Linked DNA regions of Notamacropus eugenii. The protein of the gene in region 2 purifies or fractionates together with the protein of the main gene of each other region. This does not show direct contact. Links are inferred from orthologs where the notes say so. Each region holds a gene or a part of one and is shown on either strand. Other genes may lie near its edges.

Region 1 (8,287 bases), about 310 Mb from region 2:
CCCTCCCTCCCTCCCTCCCTCTCTCTCTCTCTCTCTCTCTCTCTCTCTCTCTCTTTTGTTTTTGTATTCCCAGCACCTAGCACAGTGCCTAATATGCGCCATGACAAGCTTAAAAAGTTGATTGATTAAAGAAAATAATCCTCCCTTCAGGCTAAACTTAGTAATTTCTTCTTAGCTTCTAAGTGTGTCCTATCTGAAAAAAAGTCTTGGAAGGCCCCAGTTCAAATCCTTGTTCAGTCATTCACACTCCCTGTGACTTAGGGCATGTCACTTCATCTTTGCCTCCCTCCCAGTTTTTTCACCTACAAAATGAAACAGTTTGGACTAAGTAAACTCTAAGATCCCTCCTAGGTCTAAGTCTATGATTTTTAATACATTCTAGCTCAATTCATCCTGTGGTCTTTATTGTCTTTTTCAGGGAGTGGTTAAATGAAAGGTGGTTTTGGAGGATAGTGGGAATACTCAATTACATAGGAGTTTTGCCTCAACAATCTCAAGCATTAAGGAAATAACAAATTAGCTCAACTCATATGTTTTATAATGCAATATTTATCTTTTCTATCATTAAAGACTTGGTTCAAAATAAATGCAATCCATTCCCAAACCAGAAGCTTGTGTTTGATACTAAAATTTCTAAGGTACAGATAAATGCCTCCTACTATCACTCTGTACCCTCACTTCCCCAAAACCTGGGGTTGAAACAAAGAAAAATACATATCTGTGTATATAGATACAACAGATGTGGTGGTAGAGAGACAATTGAAGCAAGATAAGGTTGTAAAATTCACCTAGCGCAGGGCTGGGCAAATATGAAATCAGTCAATATTCAATTAAATAACCACAGCTAAGGAGGTAGTACAATCTAATCATCCCAGGATAGGGTTGGACTTGGGTAGAGTACATTTTCTCCTTCTCTCAGTAATACCTCAGTTTCTTCACTTAAAAATTAAGGCAATGTCTCCCACTCAACTCAGTCTCAGAGATGTTCATAGAAGCCCTAAAAATGTTTTAAAGTTGCTTCAAGATAAAAGTTATTAGGCATGTTTTATCACACTACCTAATATGGTCTGACTTTGAAAGCTATAAGGGTATCTCTGTGTCCTGCATGTTTGAGAGAATAAAGGGCTCTACTTATGCCTATCAGGACAGAGAGTGACAAGATCAAATCTATTCTTCTCTACCAGTATTTCAATCTTTGTTCTTTGCATACCAACCACCACCCATTTTTTATGAGTAGACCTGGGTCAGCAGGCGCACTTTAACTCTGGAAGACTCGGAGGGCAACAACTTGGTAAACATTTCAAAATCCAGATCATCAGGAGTTCTGTAGTATGTTAAGCAGTCCAGATGTTAAGATGGCAGAGCTCATGTTACCTCTGATCTGATCTCCACCACACACGAGTCTGAGACACAAGTCACTACTCACAAAGAGTTTTCTTTTTCATTCTCTCTCCAACTCTGTGTTTAATGTTCCCTTTTCAAACATGGAAGCTGCCTAGAGAAAATGCTTTTTTTTTCAACCTTTTTACTACATATAGCAGAACCTACTTTAAGGAGTTAAAGTAATTGCTTTAGATTGGGGATTAAAGCAAATCAGGGGAAAATCCACAGAGCACAGACGTGCATTTTTGCATTTCTGAATAGCAGAACATGTGTTATCTCAATAAAAGAAAATATTTCTAACTGAACCCCCTTTGACAACATTGGCTGAATCTTTGATTACTGGCAAGAACTCAGGCAACAGTAACAAAGGGGAAACCCCTCTAGAGTCCTGGAATCTGCTTCAGGTTTAAGAAAAGGCATCTTTGTAAGATGCTGGTTAAGAATCACACTTTTCCTATTCTTTTCCCTAGCTCTGGAGACAACTTATGGATATTACTGATTGGCACAAGGAGATGGTCCTTCCAGTTGTTGAGATAATCAGTAAAACACCCACCAGCCACTGAAAATACCTCAGTTCCCACAAATTGCCAACGTGGTGGGAAGCACAGGAGGCTTTCTCTTCAAACCTTCCCTCAACAGGAGAGTTCTAGTAGGAGTTGGAAACACAGAGTAAACTTATTCAGTTACTTTTTTTTCTTTTAATTTCCACATTTCATGTATCCGTCTGGGGTCTTTCCATCCGGTTTTTAGAAAAGCAGATAATTTCAGGGAGAGACCACGTGCAAGTCACCGGATCAGGGTTAGCAATATCTTAACAATGCGCCTAATTAAGAAGTTAACTCGGTACAGGCTATTATAAAGCAATCAAGATTTCCATATTAAAGTACACCGTGAAGAAAACAGATAGAAAGCAGGCAAGGCAAAGCTCTAATTTTGAAGATGCTGTCAGTGCGCACCCTCCCTCCCACATTTCCCTCCAACTGCAACACACCTAAATTATTTTAAGAATCAAAGTAAAATTACACTTTATAGAACGGCACTGTGTTATTACGTATATGTATACATATATGTATATTCTAGAAACCCCCCCAAAATCAGTTTCGACTTTCCAGCTTCCAAGCAGAGGGTTCTGGACATTTTACCTGTTGCAGCATTAACTGACAAAACTTTTTAAACTCTCAAAAGAAAGCTAGGATATTCGAAAGTCTTAATTTAAAAAACAAAACAAAACAAAGTCCATTCCATTCACCATATTATTTGCAGTTCTTTACTTAAATACGAAATTTTCAAGCACTTACAAACTTTAGAAAAGTTTTACTTAAAGAGAAAGAAGATAATAGGTAAAGTTTTTTCTTTAGAACTTACTCTTTTGCTTAAAAGGAGTGATGGAGCCCGAGCAAATGATTGAACTCTTTGGAGGCTGAAATAAAATGGAAAAGCCAGTTCAGGCACTCAGACCTGTCTATTTAAAGTTTAAAAGTCTGCTGCCGTTTTGTCCTTTCCTCCCTCCTTCCCTCTAATGAAAGAAAAGTGCTGATACCTCGTAAAAGCCTTTTTGTAACTTGGAGCACAGAGAGCTTTTTAAAAGTTTTCAAGCCACTGACTAAACTTCAAGGAGGGGTTAGCATCAGAAAGGGGACGGGCGAAAGGGGAGGAGCGGCCAAAGAGGAGCCTGGAACAGCAAACTGTGGGAGGAGAGGGGGGCGGAGAGGCGAGGGTAAAGCGAACGGGTAAGAAACAGAGGAACTTGAAAAGGGTCCCGCCACTAAAAGTGGGAGCAAAAGAAAAGTACGGTTAGACTCGTTCCTCTGAACTATGAGTCTCAGCATCGTCGTTGATGGGTGTCCCTTTTAACCAGAAGCTCTAGAAAGTAAGACAATAGCTACTATATTAAAAAAAATAAAAAATACAGCCTTTTCCTAGAACACAGGCGATTGATTGTGAAATATGTCGACAGATTAAATAGACAGGTAGGTAGGTAGATACGCAACGATTAATAGATGCCAAATTTTTTTAATGGAGACAGAATTCCTTAGACTAAGTAATGGGAAAGCTAAAGGTGACGAGAGTAACTTCTTTTTATTCAACACTTTTCTTCTCTTGGATAGTGACAAATAACAGGCAAGTGGGGGACACCCTGAAGTTTCCAAAATAAACACATCTGTCTTAACTTTTCCCCCCCTCTGCCCATCCTGGATTTTTGCCATTTCCTTCAGAAGCTAACCAAAAAGCCAAGGTGTGTTTATTTAGTTAGCTTTTCGAAATTCAGCTGACTGTGAAATCCTTATCTGCTCAAGTTTCTATGAGGGAGCTGTAGTTACTATAATATAATCTCAGAACCCTTTAATGAAACAATGCCCAGATTAATGCAAGATATTTAATGAAACAGCGTTTAGCAAGAAAAAATATTAGGTTATTTTACTGAATACAGGCTTGTAGTGCTAATGTTGCCAGTTGGGTTAAGGTCAAGTTAGCTTTGGCTCTCATCCATACCCATTAGACCCTCCTTGAGACCAACTCCCTCTCTAAAAATCACAGAAGAACCTTTTGCCCAATGACTGTTGAGCGTTGCACATAATTTTCATGAGTCGCTTTAGTGTTTTCATGGCACTAACTATTCAAGACTCTGCATCAGTCTTTATAATTACCTGAGTCATACAGAGTTATTTTGTTGGATGCTCTCACTCCTGGTGTGAGCAGTTCCCTTTGTGGGCTTCTCAGCTGCCCCAGCAGGGCTCTGTGGTTGGACAGCTCCCCACAAATATGTTTGCACCATGCTACCTGGATAGGATAGGTGGGAGATAGTGCTCACGACACTCCTTGGGCCCATTTTCTCTTAGCAAGGTGAGCTCATCTAGTGCTATAGACTTTCATCTTCATTTTTGAAGTCTCCCACCAGAAAGAAATGAGACAAATATTTTGAAAGAAGTAACCTTTCTCCAAAGATGCGAATGACTTTACTTTCACTGAATAGACTCATAAATATCTTGTGGAACTTATGAAGCCTTTTCTGTTAAGACATTAGTTTATCCTCATTCTAATTGTGCTCTTCTTAAGGAGTCATACAACACTATGAAAGACAACACATTTGAGTGAGTAAAAGAACATTTTATGGTCTGCAAACACAAATTGGTTTGAAGGTAACCCAGCTACATTTAGTCAAACTGGTTAAACAATTGATCACTCTTCAGATTAACCAGTTGTTTAAATTTAAAAAGGTTCTCCATTGTTGTTGTTTTAAAACTAGTTTAAATACCACCTAACTATTCAGTTCTTCATGGAGCTCTGTCCTAGTTAAACTTTCAAAGTACAACTCCCATAATGACTAACTATATACAGTCTTTGTATCAAATCCAGTGTAACTCTTCAGGTCCTAAACATTTCAACTCCTTTACCATTAGATACAATCTGCTATATTTATCCTAATATAGCCCATCCCTTTTCCCTTGCTTCATTGAAAGTCATAATTAAACTTGTTTTCCCTGTAACTAAGAAGGAAAGCTATTATATGCATGAAACTGTAGTACAGCTTTCAATGATCGATCCTTAGAAATTCATAAACATTATTATTGTCGTTTATTTTACATTTATCTAGCCATTTTTTAAGGAAATGTTTTACTCATTTTTAGGAACAAAAGGCAAAACTGTGGGAAGATAACTGTCCCAGGATTCAAAAGACTTTAATATGGAAATGATTCATTATAAGAAGTGCCTCACTATTTCTTTTTTAACAGTTGGATTTTTCTTTATCCAGTTTGGTTAATAATCAGATTTTCTGCATTCCATTAGATAGAATTATTATGAGAATTCACCATCTCATAGATTCCAAAGTTGCATTTCAAATTAGTTGTGGCAAAGGAGATATTGTGACTAACTAGTCAGTAGCAATACCATGAAAACAAGATTGTCATCATTACAAATAGATGGATCTATATTTAAGGATCTAGTCCACTTATAAATAACTTGATACATTTTTGACCTGTTATCTTTATGAACAAAGAGAAATAGAACTCAAGTCAAACTGATGTGGATTCTTAATGAGAATTTCATAAGCTGGTGGTCTAAGTCAAAGACTAGACCCCAATTCATGGGATTCAATGAGAGAGATAGAAAGTTGAACCTGGAGTCAGGAAGACCTGAGCTCAGCTCTATGCTGCCTTTGACACTAGTTGTGTGACTATGTGCAAGTCTCTTAACTTCTTTGATCCTTAGTTTCCTTATATATAAAATGAGGGAGTAAGAACTTCCAAAACACCTATAAGTTCTAAATATAGGATCCTAAATTAGTCTGCATTATTAAATCTACCTGATTTCCTTTCTTTGCTCTGAAATGGTTTGCCAACAATCTCTTATGAGATGAGAAGTTTATAGGTATTCCTCTCTGTCCTTACTTAGAATAACTGGATGAAAATTTGTGCACTGTTGCTGATAATACCAAAAATCAGCTCCTTTCCTATAAACTGTCCTATTAGAACAACAATAACTCAACAGAAAAGATCTATCCAAGTTGAAATTATAAAATTTGGATTGTTCTCCTCTACTGATATTTTGTTTCTCTAAATTGTACCTACATAATGTAATTATTTTAAAATTTTTATAATTGATTCCATTTTTAAGAATTATTCTACTACAATTTGGATTTCTTTTCATTTGGAAAGAATTATTCTACTACAATTTGGATATTTTTTCAGTTGGAAAGATTTATGGAAACATTTAGATTAAGATTTGAACAGTTAATCCAAAATATATGTCCCTGCTTTTTTGGACTCACATGTTCTCTTAAATGACTTTTGCCCAATTGTCAAGTGACGCAATGATTCTTCAATAACAAGGTAGAATACGGGCATGAATTAAACAGGACAGATTTTTTTTTTAGTACATCCTGAATCATTCTTCAATAACAAGGTAGAATATGGGCATGAATTAAACAGAACAGATTTTTTTTTAGTACATCCTGAAAATATGAATTGAAAAGTAGAATGCTTCAATGAAGCTTGGAAAAACAAAAAGTTCATTAAATGACATAGGTTACTCTCAGAATTAACTCATGTTGTTTAATTAACAATAGTTGTTGTAGTATATTGAATGATTTCTTGCTGGTTAAATAGTGTTAACCCAGATAAGTGATCTGGAGATTAGATTAGTTGGGCAGAAGAAATGAACAGTGCCGTTATTTAGGGAAATAGCTAAGCAAACTGTGGTATGTGAATGCAATTGAATATTACTGCACCTTAATAAATGAATATGAAGAGTTCGAAGAAACCTGAAAAAAAAACCTTAAATAAACTGATACAGAGTAAAGTAGGCAGAACATATATGTGTACATATATGTGTATATGACAATATAACAATGTAAATGGAAAGAACACAATTAGCTCAAGTAAATCTTAATACTATGTAATTTTAACAACCAAGTTTGGACAGGAGAAAAGAAAATGCATCTCGCTCTCCCTCTCTCTTTCAAAATATGCAACATTGAATATGCTACTATCAGATTGGGTTGATACGTTGTTAGTTTTACTGACCTGTTTTTCTTTCTCCCACTAGGACAAGGGATAGACAATTTGTTGTTAGTGTAGGAGGATGGAACACATACAAAAACAAAGCTGATGTATAAACAAAAGCTACCAAATAAATATGTTTTTGAAGGAAAAAGAATTGGACAGGGCCAAAACATTCAGGAGGTTTTTTCCAGAGTTAACCTTCCTCAGAAAGAAGCAAGGAAACAGGAGTCATGAGTTCCTGCCCTAAGTAAGGCAGTCTTTCTGATCTGCTGGGGTCAATCTTTCAGCTTTAAAAAATTCTGTTACTTGGTTTTAATACTTAGCTTGAAAAATATACAGCAAATTACTGTAGAAGAGCAAATTACAGTTTCAGAATGAAATATACCAATACACATTGTTGTGAGAAGTAGTGTCTTAGCTTGGGGACTGGTTCCACTGATTTTCCCTCTTTGGTTTATACCATATTGATAAGCTAATCTTCACTGATAGAGTCAGATTTCTGCATTGCCTTATTTTTAAATCCAATGCAGACAAATAATATGAAAAGAGTGGGGGAAAATAAGCCAGAAGATCAAATAATGGTACTTCGGTACAGTGATGTCTCCTCTAACATTAAAATACACTCCAAGCAAATTTTCCAAGCTCAATTTAGTGGAAAGAATACAAGTCTGGCAAAGCCAGCTTGAAAAGTAATGACACAATTTAATCTGAGAAAGTCCCCTGTAACCAAAGGTGAGGTGGATGTTAGCTACCCCTACTTCATTCTCCAATTAAAGGCATTCCCATCACTTCCCATCTGCTGCAACTCTTTTCAACAGTTATGAACCTGGGAGATGAACCTGGGAGTCTCATCTACATATTCGTAACTTTTGTTTTTGCATCATTTTAATTTTGCTGTATCCCTATCTTCTCTCCTACCCATATAGCCCCTTTGTAATGAAGAATAAAAAAATGAAAAATGGAGAGTAAGAGAAAGTTTACTAAAACTAACCAAAAAATCAAGCAAGTCTGACAGCATATATACAATGTTTCATACCCATAATCCTCAGCCTATGAAAAGAGAGGAGAGAAGTGTATTTTCTTATCTTTTCATTTCTTGCTCATTTGTGTATTTAATGTACTTTACATACCCTCAACCTAGAGGAGGTACCTAAAATTTGATTTTATATGTATAAAATTTCTGTTTCTTTACTTCAGCAACCTTAGTTTTCTAGCTCCACCCCACTGCAGGCCCCCTGCCCATCACCTACAATGTCCAAGTAATTTTTACTACCTTCCACCTAAATAAAACCAGGGAGAAACACAGACTAGACTTTTGAAAAAGGTTCAATAAGGAAAGTAAAATCTTCTGTAGATAAATTTGAGTTTGGCTCCCCCTTCTGTGCAAAGTAAAAATAAAC
Region 2 (8,467 bases):
CTCACCTTCACTGAGTTCTCTCCCATCCCCTCCCCAAGAGGCTTCCCTGATTCCCCAGCTCTCCAAGATATTCCCCACCACTGGGACCAGATAGCTCTGGAGGAGAAAGTGAACTGGTGACTCTGCACAGCCCTCCCTCACTTACATCCAATTCACTAGCCAGTCATAGCATCACCTCCCTGATGTCATGGTCCTCTCCGAGAATGAAGGACAAGCAACAACAACCCCCCCAGGGCTGACTCTGGATCCCTGGAGACAGAGGGCTCTTCCCCACCCCCACCCCTATGGGTGGCAGGTAGTGGCTGTTCCACACTGGGCCTTGGCACATTTCTACAGGCTTACATGTTAATCATGTTAATCATGGCTCAGAAATGACCAGAAGGAAACAAATCATCTAGGATGGCAGTGGACTCCCCAAACCACTTGATGGGTTTGACAATGCAGACATTATTACTATTCCCATTTTCCAGATGAAGAGACTAAAGTTTAGAGAAGACAAATGTCTTGTCAGTATAGGAACCCATGGCTGATAAGGGCTAGACTTGGAATTTCCCGACTTCAGGGCTCTTCCAAGATGTCTAGATTGGCAAGATCTTGGGTCAGAACCAAATCACTGAATGGCAGAGCTGACAGGGAGAGGCTCTCTAGCCTTAACCCCTTCATTACACCACCAAGGTGTCTGAAACTAGCTCAGCTCCAGACAGACTGAGGACGAGAATGCTGGGACCCCAGAGCTGTCTAGGGCTCCAGCTCCACCCTACCATGCTGTCTAGTCATCCATCAGTCTCTCCTGTTTCCCCTCCTGGGGCTAGAACAGAAGCAAGGCAGACTGCCAGAGGAAGAACCCTCAAACTGAATCCTTCTTCGTAAAGAAATGTCTACCAAGGCAGAAAGTTAGAAGCCAGAAGACCCTCTTCAAAAACCTCTTATCTGACGGAGACCTTGTAAAGTAGAGATTGCAGAAATATGTCATGCTTATTATATTCAATGCCACTCTGCAGGACACAGAGAGAGAAAAGATGATGAGGACAACTTCATCCCTACCCTTGAGTTTAAATCAAATTATCTACTGTTCCTGTAGCTCACGGAGCAAAAACCTTTCAACTACCCAGGCATTGTACAGTCACACGATGCTAGAGACAGACCATCCAGGGGCATCTCCATAGTCTATGAACACGAGTTTTGTCTGCTGACTCCTCTCTGGATATCTCAGAATCCAAACAACCTAAAATTAGCTCCTGCTCCAGCTGGAAGATGCAACGAAGTACCTGCTCTCCAAAGTGAAATCAAGCACAACCCAGACCAGTCCAAAAGGCAGCCCTGGGAAGTGATGAAAAGCCCCAAATTTGGAGCGGGTTCAAATCCTGACTGCTACCTCCTAGCCAAGAGTCCATGAACAAATCATCTAACCTCCATAGGCCTCAAAGATGCACTAGAGAACATCCATTAGGTCCCTCCCTGCTCTCCAATCCTACATCCTGAGTTTAATGGCCTCCTCATCTTATAGATGAGGGGAAAAAAATGCCTTACAACCCATGAGGTATTTATGCTAGTCATCCAAAGCATTGGTGTTTCTTAGGGTGAATGTTCCCTCCCTCCACAGTCCCTTCAAGATTTAGTAGATGGCATAAAAAGCTGCTGGAGCCAGTCTTCTAGTGATGAGAGCACCTCCTCCTCTTTAAGTAGACTGAGGGAGGCCTTCCTGCCTTAGTAGGTGGGACCTGCCTGGGTCTTTAGGTACAGAGCGAAGGGGACCTGCTGGGGAGCACCTGCTTCCCAAGTCTATGTCCTTGACAACTTTACTATAGCATATGACTGCCTACAAAACTGCAGAAGATTGAGTGAGTGCGACCGTGTTCATAATGCAGAAGTGGCCAACAAACATGAAAATCATTACCATCTCATCCTGAGCACAACTTTTCAAAATGACCACTGGAAAATAAAACCTTTACCCTGCCAGTAGTATTCTTATTAAATGAACATTTAAAGCACCAAATGCATTTTTAAAAGAAAGAGCTCACGGCTACAGTGGTCCTTCAACTTCAAGAGACATTTATAAACTCAGCCCCTACAATCTGAAAGGCCCCAACAATCCTTCAGGAACTATCCAAACACATCCAACCTGTGACCCTGGTCAAGAGATCGCTGCGGTTCTGCCCCAGTCCAGGGCTCCTTGCAAAAGCCTTTCTTCAGTCTCCTATCAGTTCTGAGAGGGAGACTTGACTGGCTCAGGACAAGGGCATTCCTATCTCCTGACAGGTAGTTACAAATAACACCCCTCACCCACCCGCCCGGCAACTGGGTCTATATATCTCAGGTCCAGCCCTTAGCAGGAACCAACAAGTCCCACAAAAAGTGTGGTCACTTTATCTCCAGCCGAAGGTTGGATGACTCCGGAAAGGGCCAGATCAGAAGTTGAGAAAGACATGACCTGAAGGGAACATCCCTGCCTGCCTTTATGGAAGGATGGGGAGGAATTCCGAGTGGGGGCTCAGGGAGGGCGAGGGCAGCGGCGGGCAGGCTAGCACCTGGCACTTCGGGCTTTCTCTGGGCTGGACACTGAAAGGACGAGACCTGGGGGGTATGGAGCTGATTCTGGGGGCAAGGGAATGGAGGCTGGGTGGGAAGGGCTCAGCCCTGGCACAAGGAAAGCTCTAAAAGCCTCTCCCACTTTCCAGAGGAGTGAACCTGAGGTGGCTCTGACTGCTGGGAGATGGGGGCTCGCAAGTGGGGGAAGGGAGCTGCTGGGGGGCTGGGCTGCGGGGGCAGCCTAGGGGCTCAGTTTCCTCATCTGTCAACTAAGGGGGAGGACGAGACGCGCCCATTAGCTCTGCACGAACCCCATCAAGCGGCATTTATGAAGCGCCTACGGTGTACCTGAGCCTAGCGGGGTGACTCAGGCCCCGCGTTACGCCCAGAAACAGTCTCCAGGACTCCGTACCGTGGGGGGAGTCGCCGGGACGGCCCCCTGCCAGCGCCATGACCTCCCTCTATGACCTTAGGATGAAGGGAGAGCAGCACAGGGGCACCAGGAGGGGCCGCACGCGGGTGCCGCCCCCTGCCTCAGTTTCCCCTCTGCCACGGGATGGGTTTGCTGGCCGCCCAGCGCCCTCGCACCCGAAGTGGGCATCCCTCCCGTCCCGGCCGCGAGCCCCGGCAGCGGCCCGGGACGGTTGGACGCGGCCGAGGGCGCTCGGCTCGGCTCGGGAGCCGGCGGTTGGGCCGAGGGGGTGAAGCGGGCGGCGGGGGCGCGCGCGCGGGCACAGGGCGGGGGCGCGCGGAGAGGGCGGGGGCGGGGGCGCGCCCGGGCAGCCCGCCTCGTTACCTGGGTCAGGGAGAGCTGGGCCGCCGAAGCCATGGTGTTTCCATCATGCACGGCGAGCGGCCGCGGCGAGGACGGAGGCGGGCGCCGACACGCTCGAGACGGCGGAGGGGAAAGAGAAGGAAGCGCAGAAGAAGGCGGCGGCCAGGCCCGGGCGGCTCACCCAACTTCAGCAACTTCCCTCCTGGAGCCACGCCCCGCCCGGCCCGGCCCCGCCCCCGCCCTCACACCCTGCCTCTCCCGCCCTCGCTCCGAAGCGCGCGCGCGTGCACACCCACGCACTCCGCTTCCCCCGCCCCTCCGCCCCGGGCCGCCCCGAAAACCCGGTGCGGATCACCCTCTGTGCCGGCTCCCGCAGACTCCGCCCGGACCGGAGCCGGACTCCGCCCGGACCGGACTACCGCTCGTCCCCTCCCCTTCACTCCCGGCCCGAAGGCTGGCGGAACGGAAAACCCGGTCAGGATGACCTCCCTGGAGCGCTCCTCGAGGTCCCCTTCCAGCCCATCCAACAGCCCCAGGGCCGCCGCTGGCGAGACTCGGGATACTCCAAGTGGGCCGTCCCCCGGGCAGAACTCATGATCTCCCCCGGCCCCCCACTTCCTGAACTACCCCCTGACCTTATCAGGGCAGCCACCTGGGCTCCAAACCTCCTGGCTCCCAGCCAGCCAAACCACGTGGTGGCTCCGCCCCGCCCCTCCGCTCTCACCTGGACGTCACCTGGGCCTCGCGGCCATCTGCCCGCTCCAGTCCGGCTGCCGCACACGAGGCTGCCCAGGCGACGTCCTCGAGGGCGGCTCTCCGGGCGGCCCTGCCCTCCTGCGAGCTCCGCGGGCTCCCTAACCCCCTAGAGCCAGGGACGAGTCCTGTTTGAGGCTGGCACCCTCCCGCGCCCGGCCTTCCCGGGCAAAGCCCCGCCCGACGGCTCCCCTGCCCTCGCACCCCGGCCTGGTGAAGACCCCTCGTGTCACCCCCAGTTCGGGTCAAATGCCCCCCGGCTCCAAGCCCTCCTGGAGCCGGCCCCTGCCCGCCAGCAGCTGCCGGAGCCTTCCCCGCACGTGTGCGGGCTGTCTTCGGGGCAGAAGGCCGGTTCCTCGAGGGCAGGGGCTGTTTCTTCCCTTTTCTCTTCCATTTTTTTAATCTTTGCTCGAGGAGGTTTCTAAGTCACCTTAAGAAATGCGATTTACGGATATTATTTTAAATTGGGCGCACAACCTTTGGCCGAGCAGAGACCCTGCCCGCAGCAGGTGCTTGCTGCATGGCATGGCCTTCCTGGCCATCCGAGCCCATTGCATCATTCAAACTCGGAGCTTCTCACCCCAGAGGCAGCACGGACGGCCGACCCTGAGCCCCTTGCCTGCGCCCTCTGGGTCTTCATCTATAAAATGAAGAAGATGCCTGCCAAGACTCAGAGCCCTGGGCTTGAAGTCAGAAAAGACAAGTAGTAAAACCCCTACATCTTTTTTGAGACAGCTTCCTCATCAGTAAAATGGGCATAATCAATGGCCCTTGTGCTGCAAGGTCATTGGGAGAGAAGCTCTTTGTCAGCCTTAAAGAGCTGTAGAAAGTTGAGTTGTTGCTCTAACTGGAGTCAGTTTAGGGTTAGCGTCAGGAAAAGTTCTAATGTTAAATGATCCGACAATGAGGACTTTCCCAGAATGGGACAGGTGGCCTCAGGAGGCCATGGGTCCCCCCTCCTCGGAGAACTAAGCAGAGCTGACCACTCCCTCATCAGCTGTGTTACACCTGGAATTCCTTTGGTTCATATAGATGCTCTGACACTTAGGAGTTCTGTCTGTGACTGTAGGTTGTTGTGAGGATCACACAAGATAATATTTGTAAAGTACTTAGCCCTGTACCTAGCATATAGTAAGAAAGCACTGTATAAATATTAGTATTTTTATTACCAGTCTCTTAGCCTTAGTTTTGTCATCTGTGAGATGAAGACAGAAAGATCTGGGTTGTATTAGATTTAAAGCTGAAACAGACTTAACCAACAAGCACTGATTAAGCTCCTACTGTGTGCCAGGTATTGGGCATATAATAACAATAAATGAAACAATTCCCATCACTAGGTGATTGTATTCTAACAGGGGAGACACTGAGCCTCAGGAAAATTAAGTGACTCTTGTAAGGTCACATACAGTAAATAATAAGTCCCCAAACCTAGAGTCCAAACCCAGGTCTTCCAAATCTATCTCCATCCCTGTTTCCAAGGTACACACTGCTTCATAAGGTTTTTGTGAATGCCATGTAATCCTTAAAGTGCTGTATAAATGGGAATGGCCCTGATGATTAACCAGTGAAGGGGGCAGAGCCACAAAGTGATCTGCCTACCCTCCTGCCCCCAACTGGTTTGGGATGAGGAACTGAGCATACACACACACACACACACACATATACATGCATCCACACATGAACACTCATCTCTCAGTGAGTGGAGGAGGCTAAGGGAACTCAGATACAGGATTTTCTTTGTATGTCATTCTCAGTTTTCTTTTGTTTTCTAAGGGCTGTAGGCTGCTATCAGCTCAGTCACCAGGGAACACTCCAGTTTTGTGATGTCAGCATCAGCAAACTGAGGAACACTGTATTATGGCTTGAGTCTGAAGGAAGGCTGGTGCCTATAGGGCTTCACTTGGAAGACACTGCTATCTCAGGGCACACAAAGCTCCTGTTTTACTTACAGAAAGGGGTGGGTTAAAGGCCCATCCGAACGGAGCTACGATGCCCCTCCCCCTCTGCCCAACAACAACTGTACTTTCACTTCCATCATGGTGATGTAGAGCACTGGGGAGGATGGTCCCAGTGGTCAGTTTAGTAAATATAGTTTGCCTTGTTCTGGGAAAAGCAATGGGGGATTGGGGTTGAGGGGAGCAAAATAACAATTGTGTTACAGAACAGTAGGGACCCCTTGCTGGGGCCCCACCCTGGGAGAGAGAAACCTGGAGAAAAGATCAGCAGCAGGGTAGAGGCAGAGGAACTGGGTGCCTAGGTCTGCCACTCACTGTGGAGCCTTTCAGGCAGCTCACTTTACCTTCTGGCCTCAGGTGACTCATCTGTAAAATTAGGAGGGTCAATCCTATGGGCTGTTATTAGGCAGAATTTTGGAGTCCAAAAACCTGACTTCACAAGCTCTTCCCATCTTCCAGGTAGTCATGGTGCCAGGGGGAGGGGCGGGGAGACTTGAGGCAAGAGAGAGCTGAGTTCATATCCTACCTTGGACATTTCCAGTTTGATTGATTGTAGGGGAGGACACTCTCTGGGCCTCATTTCCTCATCTCTACAATGCAGGTAATACCTGCTGGACCTGAACACCTATGAAGGAGTCATGGGTGTCAGGGCTTCTTTCCACTAACATTCCCAGAAGGGCAGAAGGAATCTACAGCCTCCACAGGGGACACTCCCTTTCCTGATTCAGTGGGCTCAGCCGAGAAGTATTAGGGACTTGCCTGAAACACAGGCCAAGGGACTGCCCCAGGGTCATAGAGCTAGTGAGTGTCAGAAGGCCGGATTCAGACCTTGCTCTGTTCTGCTTCTATACCCAGTGTCCTTTTCAGTAATAACTGTAGCAGTCTGCTGGATCATCTGGCTGTTCTATCCACCATGCCACAAGTAACCTCTTTGGGATTTGGATCCAGGTCTCTTGATTCCAGATACTGACAGATCATAGCTCAGAGGAAGATAATAGGATTTAAAGGTCACCTATTCTAACTCCTCCTCATCTTACAGATGTGGACACTGAGGCCTAAAGAGGTTACATGCCTTGCCTGAGGTCACATGTGGCATATCTGGCATTCAGATCCAGGGACCTAAAGTCAGGACCAGATTTGAAACTACCTCTTCCTGACTCCAGCCCAGGATACACCAAGCTGGCCCTATTCCACTAAAAATATGAACTAACACTTCCATGGTGCTCTACCATTTTGAAAGTATATTCACAATGACTCCATTACTATTATTTCCCCCATTCTACAGATGAGGCCCATGCAGCCACATGGCCAAGGAGACAGATCTCCAGGCCTGGAGTCAGGAAGACTCATCTTCGGGAGTTCAGATCCAACCTCAGACATTTAATACCTGTGTGACCCTGGGCAAGTGCCTTAACCCTGTTTGTCTCAGTTTCCTCTGGAAGGATATGGAGAAGGAAATGGCCAACCACTCCAATAATTTTGCCAAGAAAACCCCCAATGGGGTCACGAAGAGTTGCACAGGACTGAAAATGACTAAACAACAACAGATGCATCTAGAAACTGCTGTCCCAAAAAACAAAATTACTTGTCCTGGATCATGTAAAAACATGGACAAGCACCTATTAGGTGCCTGCTCTGTGCCAGGTACTTAGAGGAGGTCAACGGAAATACAAAGACAAAAGTGGAACAGTCCCTCTGCTCAAGGAACTTTAACTTTCTTTAGGGAGACTGTCGATATAAGAGAGATACAGAATGATGGGAGGGGGCCTTTACATCCCGGGGGGTGGGGGGCGGGAATCATGGCAGGCCTGTTGGTAGAAGTGCCATTGGAGCTGAGCTCTGAGGCAAGCTTGGGTTTCCAAGAGGCAGAGACCAGGGGGCAGCATTCCAGTTAGGGGATAGGCATCCTTAGTACACAGGTGAAGGGCAGGAATTCTGTGTAGGGGGACCACTAGGACAGTTTAGCTGAAATCTGGACTCTAAAGGAATTAAGCCAGAAAGAAAAGGCTAGTGCCACATTATGAATTCCAGGGGAGTTTGTTTTTTATCCTGGATGTAATAGCTCCCAGCATTCCTTGGACAGGGGAGTGACATGGCTAGACTACTTTAGAAAGATCATTTGCAGGGGAATAGCCTAGAAGGGGAGAGCCATTAGGACTCATTAGGAGACTCTCATAATAGTACAGGTGATGAGGCATGAGCTGTGTGAATGAAGAGAAGACAGGTGTGAGGTATTCTGGGGAGGTAAAGTTAACAAGGTTTGGGAATTGCATGACTGGGGAGAGGGGGAAAGGAGCATGCCAAGTCAAGGGTGACTCAGGTGGGGAGCCTGGGTGCCCTGGAGGATGGCAGTGCCCTCTCCAGAAAGAGGGAAGTTCAGAAAAGGGATGGCTTTGAAGAAGAGAAGACAAGTTCTGTTTGGGATAATGAGGAGATGGAGGCCCTAAGGGGCAGG

The links.
Region 1: the proteins of EPS15 (region 2) and GJA1 purify together in Homo sapiens (affinity purification with western blotting; 3 studies listed by BioGRID). This does not show direct contact. The link is inferred for Notamacropus eugenii from reciprocal best matches to the Homo sapiens genes EPS15 and GJA1.

Annotation. Positions count from the first base shown.
Region 1 is NC_092873.1:203,953,433-203,961,719, reverse strand, and holds the start of GJA1 (gap junction alpha-1 protein), read right to left. Parts: upstream 3,068-8,287; 5' UTR 2,924-3,067; exon of another isoform or gene 2,749-2,923; intron 2,048-2,748; exon of another isoform or gene 1,854-2,047; intron 1-1,853. UniProt on the Homo sapiens protein: Gap junction protein that acts as a regulator of bladder capacity. A gap junction consists of a cluster of closely packed pairs of transmembrane channels, the connexons, through which materials of low MW diffuse from one cell to a neighboring cell.
Region 2 is NC_092873.1:511,774,052-511,782,518, forward strand, and holds the start of EPS15 (epidermal growth factor receptor substrate 15), read right to left. Parts: upstream 3,455-8,467; 5' UTR 3,359-3,454; coding exon 3,326-3,358; intron 1-3,325. UniProt on the Homo sapiens protein: Involved in cell growth regulation. May be involved in the regulation of mitogenic signals and control of cell proliferation. Involved in the internalization of ligand-inducible receptors of the receptor tyrosine kinase (RTK) type, in particular EGFR.